Coturnix japonica: one gene and its partners. The protein of the gene in region 1 interacts with the protein of each later gene in a biochemical or structural test. Links are inferred from orthologs where the notes say so. Each region holds a gene or a part of one and is shown in the gene's direction. Other genes may lie near its edges. The genes, in order: OXSR1, WNK4 and WNK1.

What was found.
Region 2: the proteins of OXSR1 (region 1) and WNK4 are reported together in a solved structure, tested with the Homo sapiens proteins (2 studies listed by BioGRID and IntAct, with this or other methods). The link is inferred for Coturnix japonica from reciprocal best matches to the Homo sapiens genes OXSR1 and WNK4.
Region 3: of the proteins of OXSR1 (region 1) and WNK1, one has a biochemical effect on the other in vitro, tested with the Homo sapiens proteins (2 studies listed by BioGRID and IntAct, with this or other methods). The link is inferred for Coturnix japonica from reciprocal best matches to the Homo sapiens genes OXSR1 and WNK1.

The regions. Positions count from the first base shown.
Region 1 is NC_029517.1:4,325,561-4,335,510, forward strand, and holds part of OXSR1 (serine/threonine-protein kinase OSR1), read left to right. Parts: coding exon 1-24; intron 25-202; coding exon 203-325; intron 326-3,238; coding exon 3,239-3,274; intron 3,275-4,272; coding exon 4,273-4,428; intron 4,429-6,933; coding exon 6,934-7,007; intron 7,008-7,699; coding exon 7,700-7,752; intron 7,753-8,747; coding exon 8,748-8,816; intron 8,817-9,688; coding exon 9,689-9,753; intron 9,754-9,950. UniProt on the Homo sapiens protein: Effector serine/threonine-protein kinase component of the WNK-SPAK/OSR1 kinase cascade, which is involved in various processes, such as ion transport, response to hypertonic stress and blood pressure.
Region 2 is NC_029542.1:4,643,406-4,653,355, forward strand, and holds part of WNK4 (serine/threonine-protein kinase WNK4), read left to right. Parts: coding exon 1-207; intron 208-4,294; coding exon 4,295-4,467; intron 4,468-4,797; coding exon 4,798-5,018; intron 5,019-5,093; coding exon 5,094-5,251; intron 5,252-5,646; coding exon 5,647-5,735; intron 5,736-5,888; coding exon 5,889-6,108; intron 6,109-6,183; coding exon 6,184-6,508; intron 6,509-6,659; coding exon 6,660-6,790; intron 6,791-6,863; coding exon 6,864-6,931; intron 6,932-7,018; coding exon 7,019-7,160; intron 7,161-7,226; coding exon 7,227-7,343; intron 7,344-7,416; coding exon 7,417-7,572; intron 7,573-7,823; coding exon 7,824-7,881; intron 7,882-7,983; coding exon 7,984-8,103; intron 8,104-8,242; coding exon 8,243-8,781; intron 8,782-8,994; coding exon 8,995-9,091; intron 9,092-9,176; coding exon 9,177-9,579; intron 9,580-9,729; coding exon 9,730-9,932; intron 9,933-9,950. UniProt on the Homo sapiens protein: Serine/threonine-protein kinase component of the WNK4-SPAK/OSR1 kinase cascade, which acts as a key regulator of ion transport in the distal nephron and blood pressure.
Region 3 is NC_029516.1:52,091,485-52,101,434, reverse strand, and holds the end of WNK1 (serine/threonine-protein kinase WNK1), read left to right. Parts: intron 1-408; coding exon 409-501; intron 502-2,784; coding exon 2,785-2,826; intron 2,827-6,170; coding exon 6,171-6,358; intron 6,359-6,632; coding exon 6,633-6,947; 3' UTR 6,948-7,684; downstream 7,685-9,950. UniProt on the Homo sapiens protein: Serine/threonine-protein kinase component of the WNK1-SPAK/OSR1 kinase cascade, which acts as a key regulator of blood pressure and regulatory volume increase by promoting ion influx.

The DNA.
Region 1 (9,950 bases):
ACAATTACTGAAAGATCCAAAAAGGTACTGCAAAGCTTCTGGGTTGTACTAGTTTTTAACAAGCATTATTGCAGTACAGTATTTTCTAGATATAGTAGATGTTTTATTGAATGTTTGAACACACTGACTGAAGATGCATTTCTCCTTTTAAAACAAAATGACTCTAAAAGCAATTTCCTTGTCCTGTCGTTGTGCTGAACAGGTGAGGAGAGTCCCAGGATCCAGCGGGCGTCTCCATAAGACTGAGGATGGCGGCTGGGAATGGAGTGATGATGAACTAGATGAAGAAAGCGAGGAAGGCAGAGCAGCAATTTCACAGCTCAGGGTGAGTCCTCAGATTCCCAACAGCTTTCTGTTTTCAAACTGCAGGATGTGTAAATATCCCTGGAGTGGGTCAAGCTTTGTTTTAAGTGTGATATACAGTTAATTATTGTTATCGCTCCCCTCAAGTTTGCAGCCAAACCAGAGAAAGCAGACTGAAGGTTGAAGTTCTTACTGATTTCCTTCCTGTAGTCATTCTGAGACACAGCTGGTCTAATTCAGGGATGTTGAGCATAATTGAGAGCAGGAATTCAGACAGTGTGCTCCCAGCTTGGCATGCTAATTCACTTGAGTTTGGATATTCTTCGTATTTAAGGCAACTGCCTGTTTAAGGTGCTTTCTTCTGGAAGTCTCAAGAGAGGTTTTATCTTACTGCAATCTGCAAGATGGAACTGGAATTAACGTGGCCTGTTCTTACAGCTGATATCTGAAACAGAATCTAGTTCTTTACTCTCAGTTACACTGAGATCTAATAGTCCCTAGTAGAAAATCCTATCCCATCCCTGAAGTTGCAAGGAGGGAACTTCCACTTCTGTCATCCTACTGCTGGTGTGATCTATGTAGAAATACAATATTTAAAGCCATCCTTTAGTATCTTTTGAAATCTTAGTTTTTTCAGATAGCCATTAGTGTAGCAATTCCATGTAATAATTTGTGGCAACAGATATGTGACTTTAAAGAGCTCACCGCATCCGCTCCTTTGTGCAGTTAAGGAAGATCTCTTGGTAGCTGGTGGGTATTACTGATATTCTTTATAAGCTTAAATCCTCTAAATCTCTCTTATAGACTAAAATACGATCAATCTGTAGGATGGAATACTCTAAAAGGCCCTAACTCTATTTTGGAGGTTAATTAGAACGTCTTCTATCTTGTCTCTAAGCTCAGAATCCTATCAACTAATACCAGTTATTTGAACAGTACTTAGTTGTTTCATTCCTCTTATGCAGAAAAACATATGTTTACCAGCTCTTTTTCAAGTTACTTTTTAGTTTATTGGCTTTTCTTGAAGCTTTTTCAATATTTTCTTCTACTGTTTTCTGTTCTCGTCTCTTTAATTTGGGATGTTCTTGGCCTTCACTTTTGGGCCCTGAGTGTCTTTGTTTTGTGGAGCCCAAAGGGAAAAGAGTAGGAGCACCCATACACCTCTTGCTTTTGATCCCCTTTTAAGACTTGGATCTAAATTGTGAACATTTGTTCCAAATACAGCAACGTTATGGAGGGGCTAGTGTTAATCCTCTGTTTTAACCGTATGTCAAATGCTACATGAATTCCACCTGCCTGTAATCCCATTGCAGTTTAATAGTGTGAGTTTAGACTGTAGCCTTTATTTTTTCCTGCTGCACCTGAATTTTACTGCTGTCAGCCTTAAAGGATGGCTTATCGTCTGGCTTTATTTGCTGAGGTACTTTACTACTATCCTCTATAAAAGCTTTACATAAATAGTTTGTATTTTACTGTCAGTTTCCACTTTATTAAATCCACCTTGTTTTTTCTGTCCCTGAAGTCAGACAAATATTAATAGTAAAAAAGTTTTCTGCCTGTGTGCATGTATATTTAAGCATGTCCCCTCCAGTCGTCCTATTTGTACCTATTTGTATAAATACATTCTAATGTTTCTCTTACTTCCATTCTGCCTGTTCATGTCTTTTCCTTAGTTTATCTCTGCTTGCCCTTTATCTGGGCTGATTAGCTGCAGGGCAGGGCCTGTGTCCCATGCTTGTCTGTACAGTGTCTGACACACTGATCTTTTGGACAAGCTCTGGTTGAGTTATTCCTTGAGGCGCCCGGGTGCTCTTGGATACGAACTTTCTGCATGAGAGAACAGCACTAAAACTGAGGCCTGCAGATGTGGAGCATTGCTATTTACCTCTGGGAGCAATGCCATATTTTTCGTCTTTGCCTGGTCACTGTCAAGTGAAGGCTTAACACATCAAGATGGATTTCAGCCTTTAACCTTCCAGGTTGGATTTCAGCATCTACCTTTCCAGCTGTGTGACTTCTTCTTCCTGACACTGTCTGCAGTTAGTCACTGTGAAGGAGCTGTTCCTTCTCCTTCTGTCCAGATGGCTTTTTGCAAATTGCTATTCTCCAAATAAAACCTTTTCTTTTTCTCTAGTGAGATGCCTCTGGGCCATACATTACAAATTGTCCTGACCTGTACTGGTTAAGTCATTGGCATTGGTTATTGCATAAATTGCCTCTAGTTTAGTGTCGTGATGACTTTCATTCTGTCAAACTCATACTGTCCTGATATCAGGTTGTCTTTTAGGCACCAGGTGTAGAAGAACATTTATTTTGTTAATCCCAGCATGGACCTGTCTTATCTCTTTACAGTAATTGGACCTGTTAGTAGCCAAAAATGCAGGCTATCTTAATTGCAGAGCTTTTCAGGAATTCTTAGCAATTCCTTTCTGTCCATGTGAAATAATTAATGCTTCTTGTCTTTGTTTATTGATAAGCAAAAATTGACCAAATTGTTTTGACTGCACTTTCTTCCACATTACACTGATCTAATGGAATTTTGCAAAGCAGATCTCTTGATCTCTTGCTTATCTTTTTATGCAAGATTTGGGTAGCTTACAATGGATCTTGCACAAGCAGCTCGAGCTAATCTTGAGTGATCTTCAAGAACGCTTGATCTTGTTATTGGTTAACAGAGCAGCTTATGTATTGCATACCACTGTATGCCAACTACAGCTCCTGAGACATGACTATGAGTTTCTGGGTTCTATAATATGATTAATTAGCCACCAAACTGTGGCTTTCGTTTCATTAAACATCTTAACATTTATATGTAATTAAAGAAAAACCAAAACACAACAGTTTTATCCATTCAGTACAACTCTGACAAGTCCTTCTAGCTGATAAGTTTAATTTCTGTCAAAGCAATGACAACCTTTTCTTGTTGTTTTTTCAGTCTCCCAGAGTGAAAGAACCTGTACAGAATTCAGAGGTAAGTATTAAATGTCTTCCCAAATATGGTAACTTATTATTTCTGTTACAAATACACTGAGTAGGAACCTCCGCTCAAAGCTGTGAAATAAATCTCTAGTAGCATTTGATTGCAAACAAAACTTAATTGTAGTTTGTAATCTGCGTTCAGCTGTATCTTGTGCTTCTTACATTAGGAATATATCTTATCTTTCAGTGATACAGGCTGCTTATTTCCTAGAGCATGCACTGTGTCCTTCCTTTCCTTACCTATGTGAAAAGATTTTGCCCTAGGAGTTAGTCTTGGGTTAGGCTGCCCTGTTCTACTTTCCTGTTTCCAATGATTGATTATAAAAGGAGGTCTTAAGACTGCAGTTCTTGTAGTATAATTTTTACCTAACTCTGAAATCAGAAATGAAACCATAATCCATTTGGGATGAATTTCTCCACTGTGATACATCCCCTAATATATATTGTGGTTTGAAGATCTAATTCTCAGGCTTTAAGCATCCAAGGTGAGTTATGTTTCCTACAATTCAGTGGAGTGAGTTGGAGAAGTGCCACCAAGTTCACAGTTCTTTGGCCATCATGTCAAAACCAATTACTCTGTTTCAAATAACTGGAGTTAAGAGCAACAGAAAGGTTAAACTTCTTTAGCTCTCCTCCCTATCTCCACAGCTACATTGTGTATATGTTTTCTTGATAAGGAGCTGTCTTTAGTAAGTGCAGTCCCAAAGAGTTTGTTTTATATGCTTTGAAGCACTGGTGCTATGTAGAAAAGCAGTTTTCACTTGAATACCTAAGTGCTCTGACTCTGACATTTGTTTTACAAACAGATAAATAATTGATAGATGCTAAAGTGCTTTACAACTAGCAGAGTTGCTGTATTCTGACTGTCTGGCTACTAGGAAATATAAGTAGGCATCAAAGTTTGAGAGAATATCCTGTCCTACACCTTTTCCAAGCTTGGATATGTTTTGCCTGCATCTATTTCTCATTCAGACACCTTTCTGCCTGCAGTTATTCCCATCAGCTGAGCCTCCAGCTCCCTCACTCAATGCTCCAGCACAGGCACCTACTCAACTACCTCAGGCTGCAGGACCAGCACCTGCACAACCTCAGGCTGCTGTACCTCCCCCCAGTCAGGCTCCTCCAGCAGCCCCAGCAGCAGCTCAGGTAAGGTTAAAAACCTCTTGTACTGCCTTTCAGCTTTGCACTTCACCGTTGTGTCTGAGACGTGATTAAATGGAAGACAGCCTTGAAAGTTGCTTGTCTGGAGTTGCATGAGTGCTGCTGTTTACATAGAAGTGACAGCTGGCCTGGTAGCTGTAAAAGGAAGAGAGCCAATGTGAGCTCAGCAGTTTTTAGTTCTTCTGGTGAAACTTTCACTGTGGGTGAGCAGTGATTTATGTTTTTATGCCATCAAGGGAGTGCAGTGTTTGCTTTAAGGTAAGGCTAAAGGTAAGAAGGGAGAGTGGTTTCAGTGGCAGCTGCTTATTCCTGGTGTTTGAGGACAAGTTTTTAAGGTGCTCCAAAAATAGATTCTGATTGTGTTTGCTCCCACATCATTGCAGTCTGTGGGATAAGAGTGGAGAGAAAAATGAAAGGAAGAAACTAGAACATGTAGGTTCTCCAGGCATCGAAGGAGAGAAAAGGGGCCTAGCTTGTTACTGTCTTCATAGTAGTAAAAAAAATATCAGAGAAAACTCTTTGGGGAACTCTAAATCTTGTGGTATTTTCAAGCACATCCATTTCAAGCTGAGATGGGAGAACAGGGAATTTAAAAGGCTTTACAAGCCCATGTTTAATTTCTAACTGCATCACTAAAAATTGTAGGTTTTAGTTCATATAGGCAGACGTGCCAAAATTGGGAAGGAGCTCTAACGTGTGTTAAAAAGAGAAAAAAAGGCCAAACCAAATAATTACGGAGATGCTTGGAACGTTTCTTGTGGTTAAGCACTGCAGAGTGTGCCAAACTCCTGAGTGATGGCACCTCTTCGTAAAAGATGCTAATGTTCATTTATGTTGATGGGCAGAAGCTGTGTCAGTTGGATGGGTCCAAGGTAGCATCACCCACTGGCAGATGCAGAGGGAAGAAACTTGGCAGTGTCAGTCAGAAAAATAACTTAGACTTGCTCCTTCCTAGAAACATTTCATTATTTGTGTTTTAGGGAAACTGAAAAGATGTGTGTGTCGCTTCACTGCAGGCAGCTCGTGTTCCTGTTTACAGAGCCATTAAAGATAGTGCATTAGTCATTAAACAAAAACAGTGGAGATGAGATCTGTCGCATTCTTGGCTGTGGTATAAGTAGCCTTAGTGCTTAAATCAAACTTTCACATCTCTTGGGGAAGAGAAGGGGAAAAAAAAAAGCCAGTATTTAATCCCTGAATTCTATGCAGCAGTTGAAACACCAGCAACAGTGAAGGCCAGGACTCATCAATTCAGTAAATTGATGTTGCCATGTTGGCCTCAATTAAAGTGTTTTGATTTGTACTAGTGGAGTATCCAGTTCCCTGCCGCTATGCCCCAATAGCTTATTTATTGGTAGCTTGTCCTAAGTTGAACTTCATACCTCTGTGTGTTATGGTGTTCTTCCTTATAACTTCCCTTTGGTTCTTGTAGCTTGTTTGCTCCCATTTTATAGACCTCAGTGCTTTTTATCATCTTCTGCTTGTTTTCACTGGTAAAGCTTACAGCTTTAGCAGATCCCAGGCTGTGGTCAGTAGCTGTGAGCTGCATTGGTGACAGAAGAGCACCAATGGATGGAGTAGAAAACGATTCTGAAACAAAGGATGATCATTTTCTCTCATGAAAAATAAACCAGTGATCTGGATGAAACAAAGAACGTGGTCAAGGTTTCTAGGCTTAAAAGATCAGCTAGACGTTGTCTGTCTTGTTACTGCAGATTTAAAATCCCTGGCTCAGCACGTGCAGCACAGATAATTTGTACAGAGAAAGAGTAATTGACTTTTTTCAGTGAGTGCGAGGTTTTTGGTTGCTTTTTGTTGTTGTTTTTTGTAGAGTTTGATTAATAATTAGTCCTTTACTGGAAGTATCACAAGTGCTATAAAGATGGATCTTTCCTACTGGAAATCTGCTGCTCAGCACTATAAAATGCTTTGACTGCAGGTACCAGTAATTACTCAGAACTAATTTAGAAGTGAAAATAGGTAGCTGAAGTCCCCAGTTTACCTAAAAAGTAAATTGGGAGTCTATGCTAATCTACCATTTAATTTTTTTCCTCTGTACTCTTCACAGTTGTATCACATTTGTAAATCAGATGTTTGGGGCAGAGATTAAAACACAGGAGGTCTTGAAGTGCCTGATGATTGGCAGGCACTTCATGATGAGGGAAGAATGCCTGAAAACCTTAATGTTTTGAGGCAAAACAAGCACTCTCTTTACATTAAGTATCTATTCTGAAGTTTCTTGCTAATTTGACGTTTCATAAAGTTGTGTAGCATTTCCTTTCCTGGAGACAGTTGCAGAGAACATCCTGATTTACTATTTAAGCACAGAGCTTTCCCATTTCATTCTGTCTTGATTTTCATTGTATTGTTAGGACTCCAATCATGAGTTAAATGTTTATTGTTACTTATAGTTGATTGAGGTTGTCTCTAATTTTAATGCTACAGAAAAGAAGCATTAGTCTCTTATAAAATAACATAATCCTATTGCAGGCCCCACCTGCCCCCGCTGCAGCTCCGGTACAGGAAGATACGAAAGTCCCCATCAGCCTTGTACTAAGGTTAAGGTAAGGACACCTAACTGATCTGTTATGTCAAAGCGAGCCTTTGTAGAGAGGGACACTGGAAGAACTCCATAGTGCATCTTGTTGTGTGCCCTTCTATTTGAAAAGCTGTGGCCACAAATTGTTTGTCAGCTTGGATTCTGTTCACCTCCTGAAACTGGGACTAAGAACAGCAGTTTTCATCTCATCTACTTCTCCAGTTTGACAAGAATTAGGTTGAAGAAGGTTTTGATACTTGAATACATCTCCCTGAACTCTGATAGTCTGGGAAGGAAGCTGGGTTCTCCAAAAGAGGGCCAGGGATCCAGGGATCTTGGCCATGTGCCTCAGTAGCCGGATAATCCAACACAACTTCAGTCAGCTAGTTCTGAGACTGAAGAGCTTTTATCCAATTCAAGACTTGGGTTCTGGTTCATGTCCCTGGAAAAGATAGAAAAAGGGTTATAAGTGCACTTTGTCATCATTATGCATGTTGACTTTTCTCGTTTAAGGAATCTGTCTCTCATTTCCATGGCTGTGTTGGTTGTAGATGGGCACTGGGTTGGTTCTTAGCAGGAGGAAGAGGAGGAGGAAGAGTGTAGTGAACTCAGTTTTCTTCACAGACCAGTTCTTCAGTGGTAGCACAGTGTTCTTTTTGAGCATTGCTTAGTGCAATGAAATGTTCCCTTCCATATAACATTTTCTTCTTTCCCCAGGAATTCAAAAAAAGAACTCAATGACATCCGATTTGAATTTACACCAGGGAGAGGTGAGCTGCTGTGACATTTGGGTGCGTGTGGGTGGTTTGTTTAAAGGGACCTTTTGTGTTTGATATTGTTCAGTTGGGTGTATGGAGATGCCATGTGTGTGCCTGCCTCTCCTGCCTTCCCAAGGGTATTCTATGGCTTGAGTTATGATTGAGCTGTTAGGTCAATTGAACGCTGCAGCTGAGAGGCTTCTCATGTAAAACTGTTACAAATATGACTGAGTTACAGCCATTCAGTGCTTTTTAGCTTGGAGTCTGGAAGCATAGCACAGAACTGTCTTACTGCAGTGCTGTAAGCAGTAGGCGGGTTGAGGTATAGAAGCGTCTGGTTTTCCCCTTTCCCTTTTGATCACATATTGAAAATGAATAGCTAGAAGAACTGACCTGAGAGCACAGCAATGCAGATACTAGTTTGTTTGGCTTTCCCCTTCCACTTAGAAGATCTGTTGCCCTACCAAGTCAGTTCACTGACACGACACCCTTTTATTGTGGAATAGACATGCAAGCCTAGAACTTGCTTATGTAAATGTCTGGCTTGCAGCAGTTTGTCCTTTAGGCTGCCTTACTACACAGTGAAAGACACCTCTTCAGTAGGGTGTAATTAAGGTGTGCCCTGAATTGGGTGAGTGGATGGATTTCTTTACTGACTTAGAAGGGAATATCTCAGGTCTTTGAGAAGGCCAAGGACTCTGCAAAGTTTAGGGTAGCCTCAGGATTTGCCCTGACAAGGGTAGGGAAAAACAAGCAAGCCTGGAACTGCACAGTCCTTCCAGCTCAGAAAACAGAACATTTCCAGCTCAGTACAGACAACTCTTTCTAGTCAGCATTAGGAAAATTAAACTTGAAATGAAAGTCAGCAGCTTGCACACACTGTCTCACATAGACAGTGTTGTTGCTGTTTGGTTTTTTGTGCAAGCTTCTGGATTTCCATGTGGTACTTGTGTCAGCTGGACAATTTCTTTCGTATGGTAACCAGTTCTTGTGTTTCTCCCCAACAGATACTGCTGATGGTGTGTCTCAGGAACTAATTTCAGCAGGGCTTGTTGATGGCAGAGATCTGGTAATAGGTAATTATCAGTTCTTTCTTCTGCTCTAACCATTTCAGTCATTTCTGCATCTTTAAAATGACCTGATGAGTGGGTGCAGGGGAGTTCTCCATGGCCTTGATTCTCTTCCCCAGTGGCACTATAAAACTGTTGGTAATTCCAGTGGCAGTTCTGTGCCCAAATATATTTATGCAACCTTTGGTTCACAAGAATAGAATCTAGTTGGAAAGATTACAAAGCAAATGTTCCCCGAAATGTGAAATGAAAGTTAATCAGTGCATTGACTAAATCAGTCTCATCTGACACAGGCACTGCCAAATTGCTGCACAAGCCTGTACTGCTGACAGGTTCTGCACAAAGAGAGGTCTGGGACTGGAATCAGCCAGGCTTTTTTGTTTTAAGGCAGTCTGTGGAAGGAAGTATGAAGCACTATTGCATGCAGTGCACTTGGGCTAAAGCAACAGCATGTGTTGTTTCCGTACTCAAGTGTGTATGAATAAATACTTCCAAGCACACTTTCCTAAATAAACATGTCCACTTTATGCAGCAGGTGAGACTTTTAACTGCTAACAGTACCTGGGTATTTCAACTACAGAAAGCAAAACTGTTCCTGCAATATCTGGAAGGGCAGCTGGTGTAAAAGTAAATGGATTTTCAGGCATGTTTGGAAATCTTGATACTACTAATTAGACTTTGAGGAAAAAAGAAGCACCGTAACAAAAGTCTTTAGATTTAAATAAACTGAGTCTAATGGAAGCCTAAACTTCTTGTATCATTTTAACCTGTTCAAAGTTTGAGTAATATAAAGAGACCTTATGAGTTTGGGGTGTTTTTCTCTGTCCTGACCTAATATTTGCCCATCTTTCTTGTTGTGTGTGTGTGTGTGATTTCAGTTGCAGCTAATTTGCAGAAAATTGTGGAAGAGCCCCAAGCAAACAGATCCGTCACTTTCAAACTGGTATTTATTCCTGTTCCCTAATTGAACAAGCTGTCACTTGCAAAGATAAAGCATTGCATATAGATGCATGTGGTGTCTACTGTGGGCATCTAATGTATGTGTTCTAAATCCTCCTTTCCAAAGCTTCCTACTGGTTGTCTAATAGTAGGCAATGAAGGCTCCCTTCTTGTCCTCTGAGCAGGACCTGGGTTAAATGT
Region 2 (9,950 bases), on another chromosome or scaffold:
GCGGGGTCACCGCCGCCGTCGGACGCCGCGTCTCACCGGGAGCCGGAGGAGACGGAGAGCGAGGAGGTGGAGACGCGCGCCGTGGCCACTTCTCCCGACGGCCGCTTCCTGAAGTTTGACATCGAGATTGGAAGGGGCTCCTTCAAAACCGTCTATAAGGGGCTGGACACGGAGACAACAGTGGAGGTGGCGTGGTGCGAGCTGCAGGTACGAGGGCAGGGTGCTCACCTTACGGCACGGCACAGCTCGGGGTGACGCAGCCCAGGAACAGGGGCACTCAGGCAGGGGCTGCTCGGCAGGGAGCCTCGGTCCCCCCGCAGCGCACCCAGCGCTCTCCGCTGCAGCGGTGGGGCTGGGAACGTGCGGGGGGTTTGGACCCTCCGTGCGCTGCCGGTGCCCCGGGGTTCGGCTGCGCGCTCAGCCCCGCGCTCGTCGTCCCTCCCACCGTCGCACGTTGTTTTCCCGTTGCTGTGTCGCTGCCTGAGCTACGGAGCGCTCATGGGGCGCCTGCTGCCCCTGCCCGCGGCTCCAGCCCCGCTCTGGGGCAGTGGGGGAAAATCCGGGCTGGGCTGCACCCCGCTACTTTCTGTGCTCATCAGCTCACAGATCGTCATTTGGAAGCGCAGACAGGGTAGGGGAGCCGTCTCAGTGCCGGAGTTGGCTCGGAGGTGCACTTCGTTAGCTCTGGGAAGGCTCTGGAGCAAGTGCTGCAGGTAGCCGGGGGCTGGGTGCGAAAAGGTGCAGGGTACAGAACGTCCTTGCTGCACGTCAGCTGCTTGTCCTTGGTTGAAGTGGTGCCTGTGGGCACCCACATGGGTTTCTATGACGCTTCCAGGTGCTCCCCGCTAACAGCATCTGAACCTGTGGCTTCCCCATCTTCTCCTCCACTGCTCCCCAGCAGCAGGATGTGATGCTGGGCAGCTGAGCACAGCAGTCCCCTCCTGCGTGTGCTGGGAGCAGTTCTGGCTGTGGCAGTGAGGCTGCAGTAGCAGATCTTGGCAGTGGGGCTCCAGATTTCTCCTTGCAGCCCCCAGGGAGGGGCTTTGGTGAAGTCCAAAGTCTCCAACAGATTCCTGCCCCGGGGGTGGCTGCTGCAGCTGGAAGGTCCAAGTCCTTGTTTACAGAGAAAAACATGTCTTGCAAGTTTGTTGTCTTGTTCCTAAAGCCTTGGCGCGTCCGCATGGGATGGCTGCAACCCAGTAATGCAAGGAGAGATCCTTTAGATAATGGTGTGTGACTTTTGGAGGGGTGACTACAGCCTGTGAGAGGAGGATGTGGTTCTAGGCCTCAGTATTGTGAGATGGGGCAACTGCTTCAGATTCCCCAGAGCCGCTCAGTGCTCCCCTTTTGCTATGCCCATGTCTCCCTTCTAAGATCCCTGAGCTCCTGACTGTGCCCTCACCAGCACAGGAAGCCACAGCTCAGTGCTGGTGAGAGCAGCATCTCTGCTGAATGTGGCTAATAGAGGAGCCGCTCATGCCCAGCACATCCCACCTGGCTGCCTCACGTTCCTGCTGTGGGGCCATGCCCGTGTGCCCCACTGTGCCCCAACTGCAGCCATAGCAAATCCTGGAGCTGACAGCACAGCTTGGTACTCATGTGCACTGTGCTGGGCTGCATCCCCTTGCGTACCCAGCGTACCGAACCAGGGTGTCTGTGGGAGTTGGGCTGCAGTCCCCAGCACTTGTCCTGCAGCTTGGGCTGGCACCGTGTGCCAGTTACATTCAGGTGCCTGGGGATTAGAGCAGCACCCTCTGGGTGGAGCAGAGGCAGCCCCAAAACAGTCCCCTCTGCTCTTTATTCAGTGCTTCTTGTCCCCAAGTGCACATCCCGTGAGGGTCTGGCAGCACACAAGCAAACTTGTTAAAGCTTGTTTTTTCCAGCAATCATGCAAAGAATCAGACACTGTGACACAAATACAGGATTTGGAACCGCAAATAAAAATGGTTGTGGTTCTGCCCCTTTAAAAATAGCTTTGTCCCGTGTCTTTCACAGTTCTCCTTTTATTACCTTTAAAATATAAATGAACACCTAACCTCAGCCCTGAATGCAGTTCCGGTCCCAGGAGCCTCATCCAGCCTCCCAGTCTCAAATCCTGGCTCTTGTCCTGGCCCTGTCTCACCACCAGGTTGCCCAAAGCCTTTTCTCTGCCTTCCTGTAGGACCCCTTGGGGGCCTCTTTGTCCCCACTGCCCGCAGCCCTGTGCAGTGCTGTGTGTCCCTGCATCCCACAGACCTGCCATGACCTGTTGTGCTTTCCAGCTTTAGATTTGAGACTATTTCTGTTAGGTGCTGAGGGCTGGGGGAAAGGAGGAAGTGGGGAGGAAACCAGAAGCCCAGAGTGGGATTGAGCTGTAAATAAGTTGCCCATGCGTAGTTTGTCTGTGGGGACCCCTCTGGAGGGGGGAGGAGCAGCCCTATAGGGCGGGTGCTGCCATGCTGCCAGAGATCTGCTCTGGATCCTGTGCTGGTGGGAGGCTGAGAGCTGAGAGGGGAATGCTTGAAGGGGGTCGGAGGTTTGGGAATGGAGCAGGTGGTGCAGGCACCCACTAGGAGAAGAACTGGGTGCTCTTGGATTCCTGTGTGGCTGCAGGGACTGTGTCCTCAGGGCTCTGAGTGCCCAGAGCCTGTGCCATTCCCACTGAGCACCTCTACAGATGGCCCTGGGTGCTTCTCCTCCTGGTGTGACTCTCAGCTCTGCACAGTGCAGTCTTTCACTGATTGATGCTGCTGGGACCCTCTGGCTGAGGTGAGCAGCACACGATGCCACAGGCGCTGCTCCAGCTCTGCAGCTGTGCACACTAGCAGCCATCTCCTGGCCCTAGGATGAAGCTGGACTATTTCCCCAGCACTGCGCTGCCATCCCCATCGTTCTCCTCTTCCTCCTCAGAAGGTGTCTGCTAGGAAAAGACACTGTGTCCCAGGCAGACAGCTCTGCTGGCAGCCCCAGCTGTACATTGTGTGCTGCCCTGCACTGCGATCCCAGCCTGAGTGTCTCCAGTGGGACTGGGGTCATGCTGGGTACCACTCACCCTGCAGGGCAGGGCAGAGCCCTTGAGGTGCCTGTCTCCATCTTTGGAATGATCCATCACAGGCTTGAGGGAAGAGTGGGGCTCCCTTTATCTTTGCTTCAGGCTCCCTGGGGGACACGTCCACATGCCACCCTGGTCCCCCTTCACTGAATGTAGGGAGCCACATTGACAGTCCTTGAGCCCTGGCCGCAGCCTGCACAGCTGCCCCGTGGCTCCATGGGGTGCAGCCAGACCTCTGAGCTCCTTGAAGCTCTGCAGTAGGTGGTGGTGGGCTGGGGGGGCAGGGTGTGTGCTGGGCGGCTCAGGGGCCTTGGGGCGCTGTTTTCCTCTCTGGCTATGAAAGATCCCATTCATCCACTGCAGCAAGGCTCAAGTTCTCCTCTGGGCTGAGCTGGGTCCCTGAGCATGTATTAAGGAAGAGAGGGGATTATGGAGCAGCTCCAGCCCAGCCATGGGGCCAGTTATGATGCAATGAAAATATTACAAAAGCTGCTGGATGGCGGCTGGCAGCCAAAGAGCTGTGCTTGGGACAGGCAGCACCCAGCAATGGGGGCACCTCGCTAATGCTGTTGGCACTGCTGCCACCTGGGCTCCTGGGACTCTGTGCCAGCTCCTGGGCTCTGTGCTCCCTGGTCCCTTTGGCTCTGTGCAGAGTAAAGGTCATTGCACCAGGGCTGTGCTGGGGCACGGGGTGTGGGGCACGTTCGTGCTCCTTCTGCATCCCCATGTTCTGCTGTAGAGGGCCCTATAGGGTCTGCATCCTCCCTGCAGCCCTGCTCAGTGCCTGTGTCAGCTCTCTTTGGCTTCAACTTTAATTAACTCTAGCTGGAGGAACATGGAAAAACCTGGGCTGGAGCCTCCCACGCCTGCTTTCCCCAACAAAGGCCTCATTGAGGCAGGCCGGCTCCCTGCCATGAAGGTGCCTGGTGCCTGCAGCTGCTGTGCAGCAGCGGAGGGCAGGAGCTGCCCAGGACAGGGGCAGACAGGTCTGCACGAGGCAGAACAGCAGGTTGAGCACTTAGAAGTGTGGGGCTAGCAATGCCCATTCTGGTGCTGGGCACCGAGCATTGGCTATGGGTCTGGGCAGCCGGCTCAGGGTGGGTTTCACACGCAGCTCAGCACAGGGGGATCCATCCCTCCCTGGCCTGATTGATGAGGCAAGTGGCTCCGTCAGAGCCATGCACGAGGCTGAGCGCAGGGAGGGGGGTGGGATGTGACAGCTCCACAGCCCCATGTACCCCTCACTCCCTCCTGCCCCTGCAGACACGGAAGCTGTCTAAGACAGAGCGGCAGCGCTTCAGCGAGGAGGTGGAGATGCTGAAGGGGCTGCAGCATCCCAACATCGTTCGCTTCTACGACTCCTGGAAGTCATCCGTCAAAGGGCAGATCTGCATTGTGCTGGTCACTGAGTTAATGACGTCTGGCACTCTTAAGACGTGAGTGGGGGCTGATGGATCAGAGTGTGCAGGGAAGAAGAGGTGAGGGAGGGCTCTGCTGTGGAGCGATAGCCAGCACATGGGCTGGGGGGGCCCAGGGTGTCACAGGGCAGCGCTCACTCTTGGCTCCCACTGCTCTCCTGGCACTGGCATCTTGGCTTGGATTTAGCTGCATTTTCTGTGCTGCCTCTGGGAGGGGGTACAGGGAGCCCCTGGCTGCTGCGTGCTGTTTGCAGCTCAATGGTGGTGGTGGGATCATGGTCAGGCGTGGGGAACGGGGTTGTGTCAGTGTCCGTGGGGTGCTGTGGTGCCAGCCCTGCCCCCTCGCAGCTACTTGAAGAGGTTCAAGGAGATGAAGCTGAAAGTGCTGCAGCGCTGGAGCCGCCAGATCCTCAAAGGGCTGCACTTCCTACACACTCGCTCACCCCCCATCATCCACCGTGACCTCAAGTGTGACAACATCTTCATCACCGGCCCCACCGGCTCTGTCAAGATCGGGGACCTGGGGCTGGCCACGCTTAAACGTGCCTCCTTTGCCAAGAGTGTGATAGGTGGGATGGGGTCATGGGGGGTGTGGAGGTGTGTGTGGGGACAGGCGCATCATTGTCCATGCTGTGTGCTCCCAGGAACCCCAGAGTTCATGGCCCCCGAGATGTATGAGGAGAAATATGATGAATCCGTTGATGTATATGCCTTTGGGATGTGCATGCTGGAGATGGCCACCTCGGAATACCCCTACTCAGAGTGCCAGAACGCTGCCCAGATCTATCGCAAGGTCACCTCAGTGAGTGCCTCAGGGCTGGAGGAAGGGGTGGTGTGGTGGGAGCTGCTGGACCGCGCTGCTCCAGAAGTATTCCACTCAGCAGGTTATGCAAGAAGCTAAAATTAGACTGGGAGCTGAGAAGGTGCTCAGCTCCATGAGCTTTGCCAGGGCCAGCAGAGGGTAGGGACGCCCATGTGCCTCACCCCGTGCGCTCATAGGGTGGAACGGAGCTGCTTGGCTGTTCTGTCCCCAGGGCATCGTGGCTGCCCCGGCTGGACCCAGCCAGCTTCTGCCTTCTGGGCTGGAGCCCTGTGCTGGATCCTGCTGCCGAGCAGGTTCTGGCCCCACAGGGCACTGTCTTAGGGTCACCAGGGCACCCTGCAGCTTCCTGATGGGTGCTGTCTGCCTCTGCCCAGGGCCTGAAGCCCAGCAGCTTCTACAAAGTGAAGGTACCTGAGCTGAAGGAGATCATTGAGGGCTGCATTCGCATGGATAAGGATGAAAGGTGGGAGAGACCAGGAGAGGACACGGTGCTGCAGAGCCCTGCCTTGAATGTCTGCAACCCTGTGTGCATCCACACATGGTCCCTCTGCCCTGTCCCTTGCTGCCATCCAGAGCAATGGGCTGTGTCCTCACACTGAGCAGCGTTTTCCCCCAGATACACCATCCAGGACCTGCTGGAGCACTCCTTCTTCCAGGAGGACACGGGGGTGCATGTGGAGCTGGCTGAGGAAGATGATGGCATCAAGTCAGGGCTCAAGCTGTGGCTGCGGATGGATGACACAAAGAAGCTGCATGGCAAGTACAAGGACAACAATGCCATCGAGTTTCTCTTCGAGCTCTACAAGGATGTGGCAGAGGAGGTGGCCCAGGAAATGGTGGGTGCTGCGAGGTGGAGGGGGTGGGACACCGTTGGGGTCCCTGCGGGCTGATACCGCTCCACTCCTGTGCAGGTGGTCCTGGGCTTTGTCTGCGAGGCTGACTACAAGCTGGTGGCGAAGGCGGTGCGGGACCGTGTGGTCGCCATCAAGCGCAAGCGGGAGAAACTGAAGCGTGCTCAGGATGTGTTGCCACAGGCTGAGCTGGGGCAGGCGCCGGGTGTCTTGAAGCTGTTGGAGGACCTCAAGTCCCCACTGGCACCAGGTGTCCCTGCACCTGCCCCAGCCACCACCGGCTCCAGGGACTCTGTTTTCAGCAGCACCTTCCCACCAGAGCCTGAGGAACCTGAGGCTGATCAGCACTTCGTGTACCGGCACACGAGCTACTCCTCGGCCACCTGTATGTAGGCACAGAGAAGTGGGCATGGGGCTCTCCCGCTCCTCTAGCCACACCTATGCATCCCACCCCAAGGCTGTTCACTAAAGGGGAGCTGAGAGCTGGGAAGAGGGTCTCCAGGTCTGGCCACGCTCACGTTTGTGCTTGTTTGCAGCCGACTGCGAAACAGATGGCTACTTGAGCTCCTCTGGCTTCCTCGACTCCCTGGATGTGTCTCATCACAGTGCTTCAATGGGGACTCCCACTAGCCCCCCACCCATCCGCCCCACACGTTGCTTCCCCACGGTGAGCCCATAATGCTGGAAGGGTCAGGGTGGCAGTGGTGGTGGCTCTGGTTCACAGCATCCCTTCCCCACAGAGCATCGCAGTGCAGCTACCCACTGAGCGCCTGCCCACAGCCAGTGGCTTCTCTTCTCCAGTGGACAGGTAAGCACTGGGATCCTGGGCTGGAGCTGCCTAGGAAGGGGGCTGCAGTTGGGAACAGCCACATTCATGTACCTGGGCATCCTGCAGCTATGCCTCGGATGTGGCATCGGGCATGAGCGACGGCTACGAGGGGCTCTCTGCCGGCGAGCAGAGCACCAAGCTGCCAGCCAAGCGGGCAGTGGGGAGGCTGCAGCGGCGCCGAGCTCGGTCCCGGCTGCGCATCACCAATGTGAGTGCCATGGTGTCAGGGTAAATGCGTCCCCACTGCCTCTGCTGAGCCTTCATGTGCATGCAGATCTCTGACAAGAACGATCGGGTGGTGGAGTGCCAGCTGCAGACCTACAACAACAAGATGGTGACATTCAAGTTCGACCTGGATGGGGACAACCCAGAGGAAATTGCAGCTGTCATGGTGAGTGTAGGACTTGAATAAGAGTGGGGAGAGGGCAGCCGTGGCACTGAGCATCACCGCGCTGCCCCACCAGGTCCACAATGAGTTCATCCTTAAGTCGGAGCAGGACAGCTTCATCCACCGCATTCAGGACATCATCCATCGCGTGGAGACTCTGCTGCGCAAGGATGGGCAGAGTGCGCCCGAGCTGCCCGAGAGCCCCGAGGCTGAGCGTGACACCAGCCGTCCCGTGAGTGCCCGGCCCCGGCCCCCTGCGCTGGGACCCCGAGTGTGGCTGCAGGTTGCCCGGTGCCGGGGCATATGCTGCGGCTGCTGAATCTTTCCAGCCCTGGCAGGAGAAGCCCTGCAGCTCCGGGTCGTGGTGCAGTCTACATGACAGAGCTGGGGCTCTGATCCCCACTTGCAGTGGGGATGGGTTGGGGACCGATCTTGATTTGGTTCAGCTTGTTCCAGCGCTGAGCTCAGCTTCTCTTTCCCCAGCAGGCAGAGCTGCAGCTGCAGGAGCTCTCGCAGTCCATCTCCTCCTCCTCACTCAGTGGTACATCCTCACCTCTGTGTGAGCTCTTCCTGCACCCCTGGCTGAGCCAGGAGGGCTCTAGGAGGCCTGTCCTAGACGCCTAAGTGAGCTTTTGCACTGCAGACCCGGGATGCACCAGCCCCAGCACCTGGCTCCAATCACCCGTCCCGCCAGTACCGAGCAGCTCCCCATTGGAGAGTGACCTTTCCAGCCCTGCAGAACCACTGCTAGGCTCCCCCACAGGTACCAGGCCTGGCAGGGTGACACTCAGCTCTTTCTCTACCCAGAGCTCCCAGCCGTAGCCCTGCCAGCTGCAGCACTTTTGCCAGACTTGCAGTGGCACGGTGCTCAGGGCTGCTCCTGATGCTTCTCTTTCCTGCAGGCTCAACACAGCCATGGCCCCTCATCTCATCAGCTCCATCCTGGATGACAGCACCACCGGTGCTCCTACAGTCAGCCCCAGGCTCCTCAGGGATGTCTGTTCCCCCTGCCCTGCCGGTCCCCTTATCCCCCATCCCCAGTGGGCCCAGCAGTCCCGTGAGCCCCCCTGTGACCAGCACATCCTGGTCCCCAACCACTCCCCTCCTGTCCCTTGCCAATGTCTTTTCCCTGGCAGTGATGAGCGTGGCACACACGCTACTGCCTGCTGTCTCCTCCATTGCCAGCTCAGGTGGGCACCTCTACCCTCCACCGCTGCCTCGGCCACAGAATCTCATCCTTGGGCCCCCACGCTTTGTTTACCCTGACCCTGCCAGTATGGCAAAACCCTCCCCGTCTCGCAGCGGGCCTCCGGGGGCTGATGTCCCTGCTGTGGGGGGGCCCGTGCCATTCTCTCCTCCAGCAGCAGTTCCTGTGTGCCCCACGGGGAGTCCCTTGACGATGCCAAGCTCAGTCGTGCCAGAGAGCCCTGAGGGCAGCACAGTGAGTGTGGGGCTCTACGGAGCTGTTTGACTTGGGGCTTAATGTTTGTGGGCTGGGTGGGTGATGGGATGCAGAGCTCTGCAGCATGGGGATGCTCCAGCACAGAGACTGTCCTGAGGATGTGGGGAGGGCTGAGCAGGCCAAAGGTCGCAGCTGTGGGAGCAAAAGCAGAGGTATTGTGGTGGCGTGGTGCCAGCATGTGGGTGCCTGCAGGTGCCGCTTGTCCCTCTGAAGCCCAGCCACCCACTTATCATCTCAGAGTCGCCAGCACCCAGTGTGACCAAGGCCCAGCTGTCACCCATCAATGAAGGTGAGGTAGGAAAGGACCGTACCCACAGGGGCACAGCAGCATCCTTGGCATCCCACTCACCCCAGGCCCCATGGATTTCCCCCAGAAGCCAAGCCCCAGATCCTGGGCCGCTTCCAGGTGACGCCATCCAAGGAGCCAGCTGTCACATCCCCAGTGCTGGGCAGCAGCAAAAGCGAGCAGCATGGCACAGAGTTGGTGGTAGGCAGCTCCCTGCTGCCCACCACCTCTGGCACAGGGAGCAGCACTAGCAACAACTCTGAGTCAGAACAGGAGACGGCAGTGCAGAACCCTGAGGAGGCGCTGGCTGAGGAGGGGACAGTGGTGCCGGCAGAGAGTGACCGGGAGGGCCCTGGGGAGGAGAGCGCTCCGCAGACTGTGCTGAGCCAGGTGTGGCTGAGCTCCTCCCGCAGCTTGTCCTACGTGAGCAGCGATGACACCGAGAGCGAGGATGAGGAGATCTGGGAGGAGCTGCAGACCCTGCGTCAAAAGTGAGCAGCCCCATAGCGAGCTCGTGGCTTTCTGTGCCCTCCAGGGGTGGGGGGCTGTGCCCATGAAGGATCCTTGCCCAGGCAGAAGGATGATGTCCTTTTCCAGGGCACTGCACATACATCAGACTCAGCTCCCATTCTCTTCTCAAGGCACTTGGCTGAAGTACAGCTGCTGCAGAGCACCCAAAAGAAAGAGATTGAGGAGCTGTACCTGCGGATGGGGAAGCAGCCCCCGCTGGGCATCGTCTCCCCTGCTGCCATGCTCTCCAGCCGCCAGCGCCGCCTTTCCAAGGGCAGTTTCAACCCCTCCCGCCGCAACAGCCTGCAGCGCCTGGAGTTGGTGCAGCCCCCAGGTACCGGCCCCAGCGCTA
Region 3 (9,950 bases), on another chromosome or scaffold:
GACTTTTTGAAAGAATTTTGGCAAGAATTTTCTGTAGAGATTTTTTGTGTTGAATTGTTCAAGTACTTTTGAAGCTACTTGTGGCTCCCTGTACATAGTGCTGTACGGTATCTTCTACAATTAGATGCTTTTGCTGGCATTTGGCTTTCCTACCAGTGGAAACCCCATTGCTGGGTTATAAATTGGAGGTTAACACAGCAAACTTGGCCTCGTGTTCACTGTACTGAAGGCGAGTCTCTTCACTCCGTATGTTGTCTGCATACTCTTTGGTCCACTCTTTGAAGCTTACTCTTGTGTGCCATGTTAATGCATTTCACCCTTCCAACCTCAAGTTGCTAACATCTTGTAGTGGTGTTCTGTCTCTTCTCCTCTCCTTTCTCTGTTCTACCCGTTTTTGTTTTCTCACAGGCTGTGCGAAGTTTAACTGTGCATCTGAGAGAGTGACGTTCAAGCCTGGTGGCAGGAGGACCCGATTTCTGAGTACGCCCTGCTTGGCTCTTTGTGTGTAACACCTTTACTCCTTCCTTGTCTTTTTTTGTTTTGTTTTGTCTTTTTGTTTTCTTCTGCTGCTTGGATCTGTTTCATGCAGCCCATCCTCATCTGCCATCTCGTATTCCCTCCCATTCCATGGCTAGGCTGAGTTGCTCTTAGCATACCTTTAGAAGTTTGGGTTCTCGTGTTAGGTACTCTGTTTTTAAACTGTTTTAACACTGATTTCTCTAAGCTTTTGGTGAAAACTTCTCTGGGCAGGTCAGTGAAACGGCAGAAATTGAGGTTGGCTTGCCAGATGTGATATACCGGGCCTTTTCTTTTGGCCTGCTTATTAATTACACTTCAGTATATATTAGCTGCCATGAGACTAGCAGGATGACTATTCTTTCCTAGGGAAACAGTGAGGAAGATTTGTTTCCCAAATTACTCCTTTGTTTGGGGCACTGTTGTAACTGAAGGCAGAGGGGTTGTGTAGCTTCCTTCCAGCAGTGTGCTTGCTGTTCAGGTTGGGTATTTATGCATGCTGTCAGCACCAGTGCTGATCACAGTGCAGAGCATTGATGCCACCTGTAGGCAGTTAACATCGACTTCTTGTGTTTGTTAGCAGATGGAGATTAAAAAATCAAAACTTAAAAATAGTTATAGAATATTTTCAGGTCAGCTCAACTGGGCCACAGATTTAGAAGCTCTTAATGTGAATCATAGACAGACTAAATATGATGCACATAGCAGTACAGGTGGGGAAATGGCCATCTTCAGACATTCTGTCAACCCTTGCAAGTTACCTTGCAGCCTTTCTCAACATCCTTTCGCTGGTGCTTATGTTACACCAGATTCAAAAGAGAGCCTCAAACTTCTGATGTGATTGTCTGAACTAACGATGTGCTTGAGCTGAGGCTGCTGCTGCAATGCTTTTTTTTTTTGGAGAGCGCTGCGACATCTCCCATGCTGCTGCTGCAGGCTGGACCCTTTGAATGCTCTGACATTTGTTTCCCAGACTCCAGAATGACTTGATATGAGAGTTCCGAGTGCTGAAAAGAGACCTTCAGTTGCTGCACTGCCTAATGTACCATGCATCTGTAGCATCTGTCTTGCTGCAGTTGGCAGCCAGAGAATTGTGTGTAGGAATGAGACCGGGCTTTCTGCAGAGACAGCTGCAATGCAACCAGCACAATCCTCCAAGGCAGCAGAGACAGAGAGGAGAAGCATATTTGTGGCTGCTGAATTTTGCAATGATATCTCATTGGATTTTAGATATATTACTGTGCGGATACTGCAGTAGCAAACATCTGCAGTTCAAAGACTTTTAACAGCTCCTTTCTTGGAAATACTTATATGCTTACCAAAGCAAACTCTTTAAAATCCTCTCTTGTCTGCCCTATCCCATCCTTTTTTGGGTTAGAGAGTATAATGAACAACTACTTCACTTCTGGAATTGACAGTGAACTGAGTGTGAGAGTGTCATGTATTTCTAAGGCTCTGGCTTGCTGCAAACTGTATGCCATCTGGCTCTATGAGTACATTGGCATGTATATCCTTTGCCTGTGGGGCTGGTGCTAAGAAAAATGGATTCTTATTGAAATGTGTGTTGCAGCTGTCCTGCAAAAGCAGGTCATACTCGTAAAGGCATGGCACAGCTTGGCCTGGCACTCAGCTCATTACAGGCTGTTTGCTTCCTGGAGTCTTGTCCTTCAAGTGCTATTGCAGACTGTTATGGAGAGTGACAACTGGGAAAGATGCTGGGTTCAAATCAGCAGCGTTGAGAAAACAGTGCAGTAGTTGATGCTTGTAACTGTGCAGTGGGAGAAATAGAGTGGTACAGCCTGGCGGGGAAGGTCTGTCCCACGGATATGGGAAGGCCTGAGAGAACAAGGTGACAAACCATGAGAGCACTTGGCTTATCAAATTCTTCTCACTTTGTGACAGTCAAACTTGATAGCTGTAAAGCGCTTTCCAAAGCCCTGACAAAAATGCAAGATGTGTTTGCTTTGCTTGTGTAGTAACAGCCAATTGAAACAGTAATGTTTCCTGCCATTCTTCACTACAGTTTGGGCAATCTGGAATACTAAAAAATAAACGCAGAAGGCCAAACCGTTTCTTTTTCTGAAAATTCAGCTCATGAAACTGTCAGAGCAATCTCAGGCTTTTTCATAGAACATACCAGAACTTTCAAGAGCCCTCCTGTGCCATGCCCTCTGTTTCTCACCAAGCTTTTCATACTGTTTGCTGATACTAAACATTTCTCACTGTTTCTCTTTATCTTTAACAAATGACTCTCTCTTTGTGCTTCAGGGAAGATGGTGAAAAAAGTCTGTCCTTGCAACCAGCTCTGTAGTAATTATCTTATTTCTGTTATCTCCAGCTCCTGACTGTAAAGCTATTCATTGGCTTTTTCTGGTCACTGAAGCCTTGCCTCCCTGACTCTGTCTCCAGCACAGCATCTGTCTGTCTCCGTTATGCCCTCTAATGTATACTCTGTTGTTAGCATATCTGCATAGCGTGGCTATTACCTTTGCAGAAAAGTGGAGGCAGAGCCTCACTTTCCCTGAGCGACGACTCCTTGCTCACTGCTAATGACAGTGAATTGAGCATCGAGGACAGCTGCTCACTGTGATGCGCTAACGCTGTACCTTTGAGCAGCTGGTTTCTTTATGTATCTGACGGGTTCTGCCACCTCAGTGACAGCTCCAATGGCAGAGTCTCCTTCAGCATTGCAAGAGTAAGCCATCTGATCTCAATCCATGTCCTTTTGTAAGAGATGTGTAGGAAAGCCACCATATGGTCACGTCCTTGAAGACTTTGTAAAGGTGCCTTTTGACTGTTGGCTCATGGTGAGATTTAAAAATTTAAAATTAATAAGAAAAGGTTAAAAAGGCTGGGTGTGAAATGAAGGCATTGTGGGTGGCAGGCTGGAGAAAGGAGAAGCCTGTTTCACTTCAGGTCCTTCATGTCAGAGAAGGAATGGGGACGGCTGCTGTGACCAAGCAGGAATGCGGGGGTTTGTTTCCATTAAAAGCCACGAATTGAAACACTTCCTTCTCACACTCTTCTGGATGGCAGCTCCAGTAGGTGACAGCTACACCAGGGTTAAAATGTGAAGTTCCTAAGAAGTCAGTTTTTACAATGACGCTATGGAAGCTCCAGTAATTTTACAGCTCACCTCTTCTAACCTAGGCTGGTCTGCCCTCAGGTCATCTGTGACCTGAGATAGGAGTTCCACAATAAAATCACCTTGCAGACAAGTCTCTTTGCCCCCCACTTTTCCTGTTCAGCTTAAACCCTGGACTAAACCATGAGCCAGTCCTCTTCAGAACACTTCAGCTTTCCTAAACAGTTTTTTCACATCTTTGGATGAATGCACTGTAGTATTTCATGATTAACTCTCTCCATTGCATGGCCTGAAGAGGCTCTTCAGCGTAGAGCCAAGATCACAGGTTGCCAGCTGTGCGCTTAGTGATTAACATAGAAATATGAGACATGAGAACCAGATATTGGCCATCATGAAGAGTATGAGAGGAAGTGTGTCAATCCCTGCATGAGCCCTCATGGTGGAATGTGGTTGTTACTGGTTTCAACACCTCGTCTTGAGTTTCATTTTGTTGTTTTTGCCTGTTTTGTCTTTAATTTCACCTTCTTTTTCTCAGTCACTGTTGTTATTAAGTAAGATGTGGTGCATGCTTAAAGTTTTCATTATTTTATTGTAGATTTTTCCTTGCCACCTTACGGTATGTTTCTGTTAGCGTTCATCTGAGCTGCAACTGCACTCCCTGGTCAGGGAACCCTATTCTCTCCTTCCCTGTGTGCTGTTGCATGCCTCTGCCTGCCTGTAACAGCTGCTGCCCCTCTGGTGAGCATCCTCACTGGGAGCCATCTCCATGCTTGAGCTGGAACTGGTGGGAGGGAGGTGTGTCCTTCCCTCTTCAGCACTACTAGAGGCGGTAACACTTTGCTTATTTGTCCCGTGTAGTAAGTATGTCACCTTCCTAATTCACTCCTTAATGTAAAGCATTCCTGCAGGGGTTTGGAGCCAGTTGGTTTGTTCTTTGATGCCGTAGTTGCAAGGAGTGTGGCTGCTAGCCAGGGAGGGTAGCACAGAGGAGTTAGAATTGCAGTATCATTAAGGTTGGAGAAGACCGCTAAGATCTTCCAGTCCAACCAGCCCAACACCACCATGCCCACTGACCACATCCCTCAGTGCCACATCCACACGGTTACTGAGCACCTCCAGGGACAGTGACCCTACCACCTCCCTGAGCAGCCTGTGCCACTGTAGCACCACTCCTTCTGAGAAATCAGCTGTCAGGCAGGAGCCAGTGACTGTCATTGGAAATGACCGTCTTCGCTAGGAATTTTGATGGTCAACTTTTAATCAGTTTTCTGCAGAAATTCTGCCGTACGCTCAGGTTTTCTGGGCTTCCCAATTGCAGCCTTCAGAGCAAGCAAGTAAAATATTTGAAGATATTTGAAAACCAGTTAGGTGAAGGTGCTTGCAGTGAATGCAGGGCTTAGCTCTATACTGATGAGGAACTTGTTTTCAGTTAAAGGGATCTGAGAATTGCAGTTTCGTTCTGCCTTCCCCATGGCCCTACTGGGTCCCATATCTAGAAATGAATGAATACATCCCAGAAGTATCTTCCACATCTGGGATGAAAACACTGCTGGAAATTAGAAAGCTTACCTGATAATGGACAACTTTGGCTACTGCTAGGATATCTGTCTTGTGAAGAGCTTCATCTTGAGTGAAGCTTGTTGCTTACAAGGGTGAGGCAGTGAGCGAGGCTATTGTACACAAACATTCTGGATGTTTTCTGCAGGGTGCTGTTCGGCAAACTTTCTAGAAGAACCAGATCCCCAGTATTCATGTGAAGGGTTTTTGTTCTTGTGGGCGACCCAGTGAACAGAAAATCATGTCAGAGCGCATCCAAGGAACTGGTCTCATTTCTGCCTTCTTTAAGCTGTATTAGTTATTTGCATCTGAAATGCTGATTCTTCTGGCTAGGAAATCTGAACATCATGGCAAAAAAAAAAGTGCTTTCAGAGGGGAAAAGCAAAATTTAACACAGTGCATGCTTCCCCTGCTGATCTCCGTTCTTTAGTGGATGAAGACTATCCCGTCTGGTTATCCTCAAGTATGGCAGCTGTTGGAAACAACAGTTGCTGTTTCTCATTGTGGCTTTTTGTGTAATCTGAGTGAATTTTTCCCCTTCATTTTAAGAAGTGGAGATAATTTTCTACAGAGCAGCTGGCTGTGCTGTTTGTAGTACTCCATATTCAGCCTCCAGCATTGCCCTCTGAGGCAGAATTGACTTGTGCTGGTAGTGTTTGCTACTAATTAAATGGTGTAGGATGAAAGAATGACACGACTACTGTCATTTGGTGCTGAAATCTAATCTCCTTTTTCTTCTACAAAGACCTGTAGGCTGCTGCTGTTCCCCTGTCAAGATGACTACTTGCAGGACTTCTTGAAGGAAACATCCGTGAAATATTAATAATCTGAGAAAATGCCTGTAGGAGTCCTCGTAGTTCCTACTTCAGCTTGTCTTGGAATTGAAACCTAGACTTAAACTGCATGGCATTTTAATTGGCTCTCTATCGTTGTACCATTGCCACAATTATTAAACTCAGTGAAGGAAGCTGATCTCGACCCCAGTTTTGATTCCCATTTCTTGTGTTTTTAGGGACCAGTAGCACTAACGCAGTTGGGGCTACAGTGAACAGCCAAGCACCCCAGTCTCAGCCTACTGCTATTGCCTCCAGCCGAAAAGGGACTTTCACAGATGACCTGCACAAGCTGGTAGATAACTGGGCCCGAGATGCCATGAACCTGTCTGGCAAGAAAGTTGGCAAAGGGCATAGCAACTATGAGGTAAGATTTAACCCATGAATGTTTACGGTAAGAAGCTGTCGGGTCTCATTGCCTATCTCAATCCAGGTATCCTGGCCAATTGCTCTACAGAAATGTTGGGTAAACCTTGTGTGTGCAGTATTATATTGCTGATCTGGAGGAGAAGAGGGATAGCTGAAGAGTGCGGCCGTGGTGTATTCTTGCAGACAGTCATTTGGAACGGCCTGCGGGCCAAGGGGATAGCCGTTGGCTTGTAAGAACGGTCATTTAACCTGGAGGTTGGATTTTCTTTCAGGGCCCTGGAATGGCAAGAAAATTCTCAGCACCAGGTCAGCTCTGTATCTCTATGACATCTTCCCTGGGTGCTACGCCCATCTCTGCAGCATCAGCTACCTCTTTAGGTCCCTTCACGAAGGCCATGTGCCCTCCACAGCAGTACAGTTACCCAGTGGCGTCTTTTGCCGCTCCATGGAGTGGGACGAGCGGTCCGGCACAGCAACCGCTTGGCCAGTTCCAGCCCGTAGGTGCCACGTCTTTGCAAAGCTTCAACATCACGGGTTTGCAGAAGTCCATCAGCAACCCTCCAGGCTCCAACCTGCGGACCACTTAGCCCTGCCCGGAGAGCGTGCTGGCTAGACCTCGGGACAGGACGTGGGGAGGGAGATGGGGCCCTTTGTCAACTCCTAGTGCTGCAATGAACTGGTTTGCTTGCCAGACTGGGAATTAATTTCTCTTTTCCACCTGTTGCTGTTAACTTTCTGTAAAGGGGGCTTCCCCACATGCTTTCAAGGGGGAGGAGGATGATCGGCATCCTTAGTTTGGGACAGTTCTTTTGACTCGAGGGCTCCCGCTTGTGTGTGAAGCGAGAGCCGTGAAGATCAGTCACGGGGCAGTTAACGCAGTCTTGCTGTAAAATTTCTCTGGTTTGAGGCTGAATCCGCGTATGTCAAGATGGGAGAGTTGAATCCTAGCATGAGGCTTTAGCGCACTTCTCTCCCTGAAGATCCGAGACCAGCTGTCCAAATCCCCCTCCTCTCCCTCTCCCCACTCAATCGTTATTTGGCTCCAAAACGATGGGGCGCCCGAATGGACTTGCAGTGCAGCCCGTGCTTGATAGGTCATTACTGCTTTAAGTAAGATATTAACAGCTTTGACTGCAGCATTAGAGCAATTTAAATTGTTTAAAGATTTTTTAAAAGTTCCCTGCGGACATGTACTTACCATCAGTTTTGATGTGGAAACACTGTGATATATAAATGTTGTTGGACAACAGTAGTTTAAAAATGAGTGGAATATAGAGGGTTAAAAAAGTTAAAAAGTTAAAAAAAAAAAAAATGGGAAAAAAAAGCTAGCTATATCCTTATACTTATTGGAGACACTTTAACTTTTTCCTTTGTATTTTCATTGTATTAGATAAATAAATGTGAATGTAAAATTGTATAAATTAATGTACTTGAATACTTGTCTGTTCTCCCAGTATGCTTGCTGGATATTTTAGTGCCTTGGACTTCTATTGCTTCTGCAGTTAGCGTTGTCTTCCCAGCAGACCCCAGGTGGATGGAGGGGCAAGTTCAGAGAAGGCCGCATTGGTAGTACCTGTGGAGGGGGGCTTTACCACCGGCACAGTGATACTGATACCAGGCAGAGCAGGTGCAGCGGGTTGGAACTGAGCTCCGAGTGATGGGAAACTTGGCTGAGGGCATGATCCGATGTTGCTAGTGTGATGAGGGCCAGGTGGGGCAGGACGGAGGGCTGTGTGTGAAGCCGGAATGAGACGAACCGCTGTTATGTAGAGGCAGGAGGTCTGGATCAGGAATGGAGAGGATGGGGAGAAGGTGTGTCTGTGGGAAGGGTCCAACTTGAGGTGCAGTGTGTCCCCACCTGAGAAGTGGTGAAGGTGTTTGGTCAGGAAGTGACTTGAGGGAGAGGTGCCATTGCTCATTGGCGTGGGCTCGTTTGCTGGGATCGCTTTTCTTTCTTTGTTTTGTTGTGGTTTTTTGGTTGGTTGTGTTTGGTTGTTTTTTTTTAGCCATTGCCGCCAGGAATAGTCTTGTCCTGGCACAATGTCCATTGCCGGCAATGGATGCACTTGAAACAGCCGGCATCAAGAATTTTCCTCAGTCTTATATGGAGGATTTATTTACGCTTTAGTTCACTCTTATCAGATTTGCAGCTGGTACTGGGCCTGTAGCCGTCACCTCTGAGTTAGCCGTACTGTACCTTTGCTGTGTTCATCCTCCCTTTTCCTATTTAAGAATACTGGTTTCCTCCACAACGTTAAAATAATACCAGCCAGTATTTACAGAGTGCTGCAAAGAGCTGTGAGGGGTCGGTGCTGCTTCCCGGCGCTGGGGCGGCTCACTGCTGTCCGGAGGTTGGAGCACGCAGGAGATTGTCTCTTGCCCAGGTTGTTTATTCCCTGAGCGTGCTGTTCCCCTGTGGAGCTTTAACAGGGAGCTTTTCTGTCTGCGAGTGTCCTCACCTTCATTTTGTTTGCAAAGAGATGTGCGGGATCCATTCCTTTCCTCTTACTTTTTTGTTTGTTCTTTTTTTTTCTTTTCTCCAGCATTTTTGGCAGCAAGGGAATGTACCGAGTGGAGAGAGAGAGTGAGATGCCAGAAGAGGGCAAAAGCCAGCAGCAGGGAGCCTGAGCTCCGAGATCCTTAGGTTTGAGGGCTCGTTCTTTGTGACCTCAGTGCGGAGTGGAGCTGTGGGAGAAGTCCGTGGTGGGAAGGGGCAGAAGCAGGGGGGGAATGGGGGGAGAAGGCCCACTGCTCTGCTCTTTGTCCTGGATGGTGCAGAGGTTTCCCAGATAGGCCAGGTGGGAGGTGAGAGGTGCACCTGGGGGTAAAGGAAGCGGTTGCCGGCCCCAGATGGTGCTGACACACAAGAGGGGGATGCTTGCGACAGGGGAACTGATGAAGCTGAGCGCAGCACGTGGTTATTTAATTTTGATCTAATACGTTTGAAGTTGTTTTCACTTAATGTTATGCAAGAGCTGGTTTTATTTACCATTGATCTCCCTCCTCCCCCTCCTCCCCCTTCCTGTGGATAAATAACTGAAGTCTAGAGGAATAAACTAATGCTACTGAACTGTTAAATTATTTTGTTTAATATTACACTTTGAGTATCTTTTTTTCCACATAAAATCTGTTTCTGAATTACAAGCGTTTTCTTTACGTTATTTAACAATGTACACTGTAAAAAAAAAATAAAAAAATAAAAAATAAATAAAATTAAAAAAACCCAATAATAATAATAAAAAAAAGTTGCAACTTTCGGGCTTTCCCTGGCCACAAGTCAGTCGTGTGTTTGGCAGCGTCACCCTGGCTGCTCTCCCTTCTATGGTTGCGCTTCATGCTGCAGTTTGTCACCTCTGCAGGACATTGCAGGAAAGAAACCAAACGTGCTTTGCTGGGCGCTGGGTTGTTTTTTTCTCTTGGCCTCTCCTGGCTGCTCCCGCAGTGATATAACGGCTGCGCTATTGATAAGGGTTACTGGTTTGCTGCTGGGTCAGTCCTTCTCTTCTCTGGTTCAGAAGGGAGCAACGGTGCTGGGCGCTGCCTTTATTTAGTCCGGATCCAGCCTCAATTCCACCCCCCAAACTTGCAAC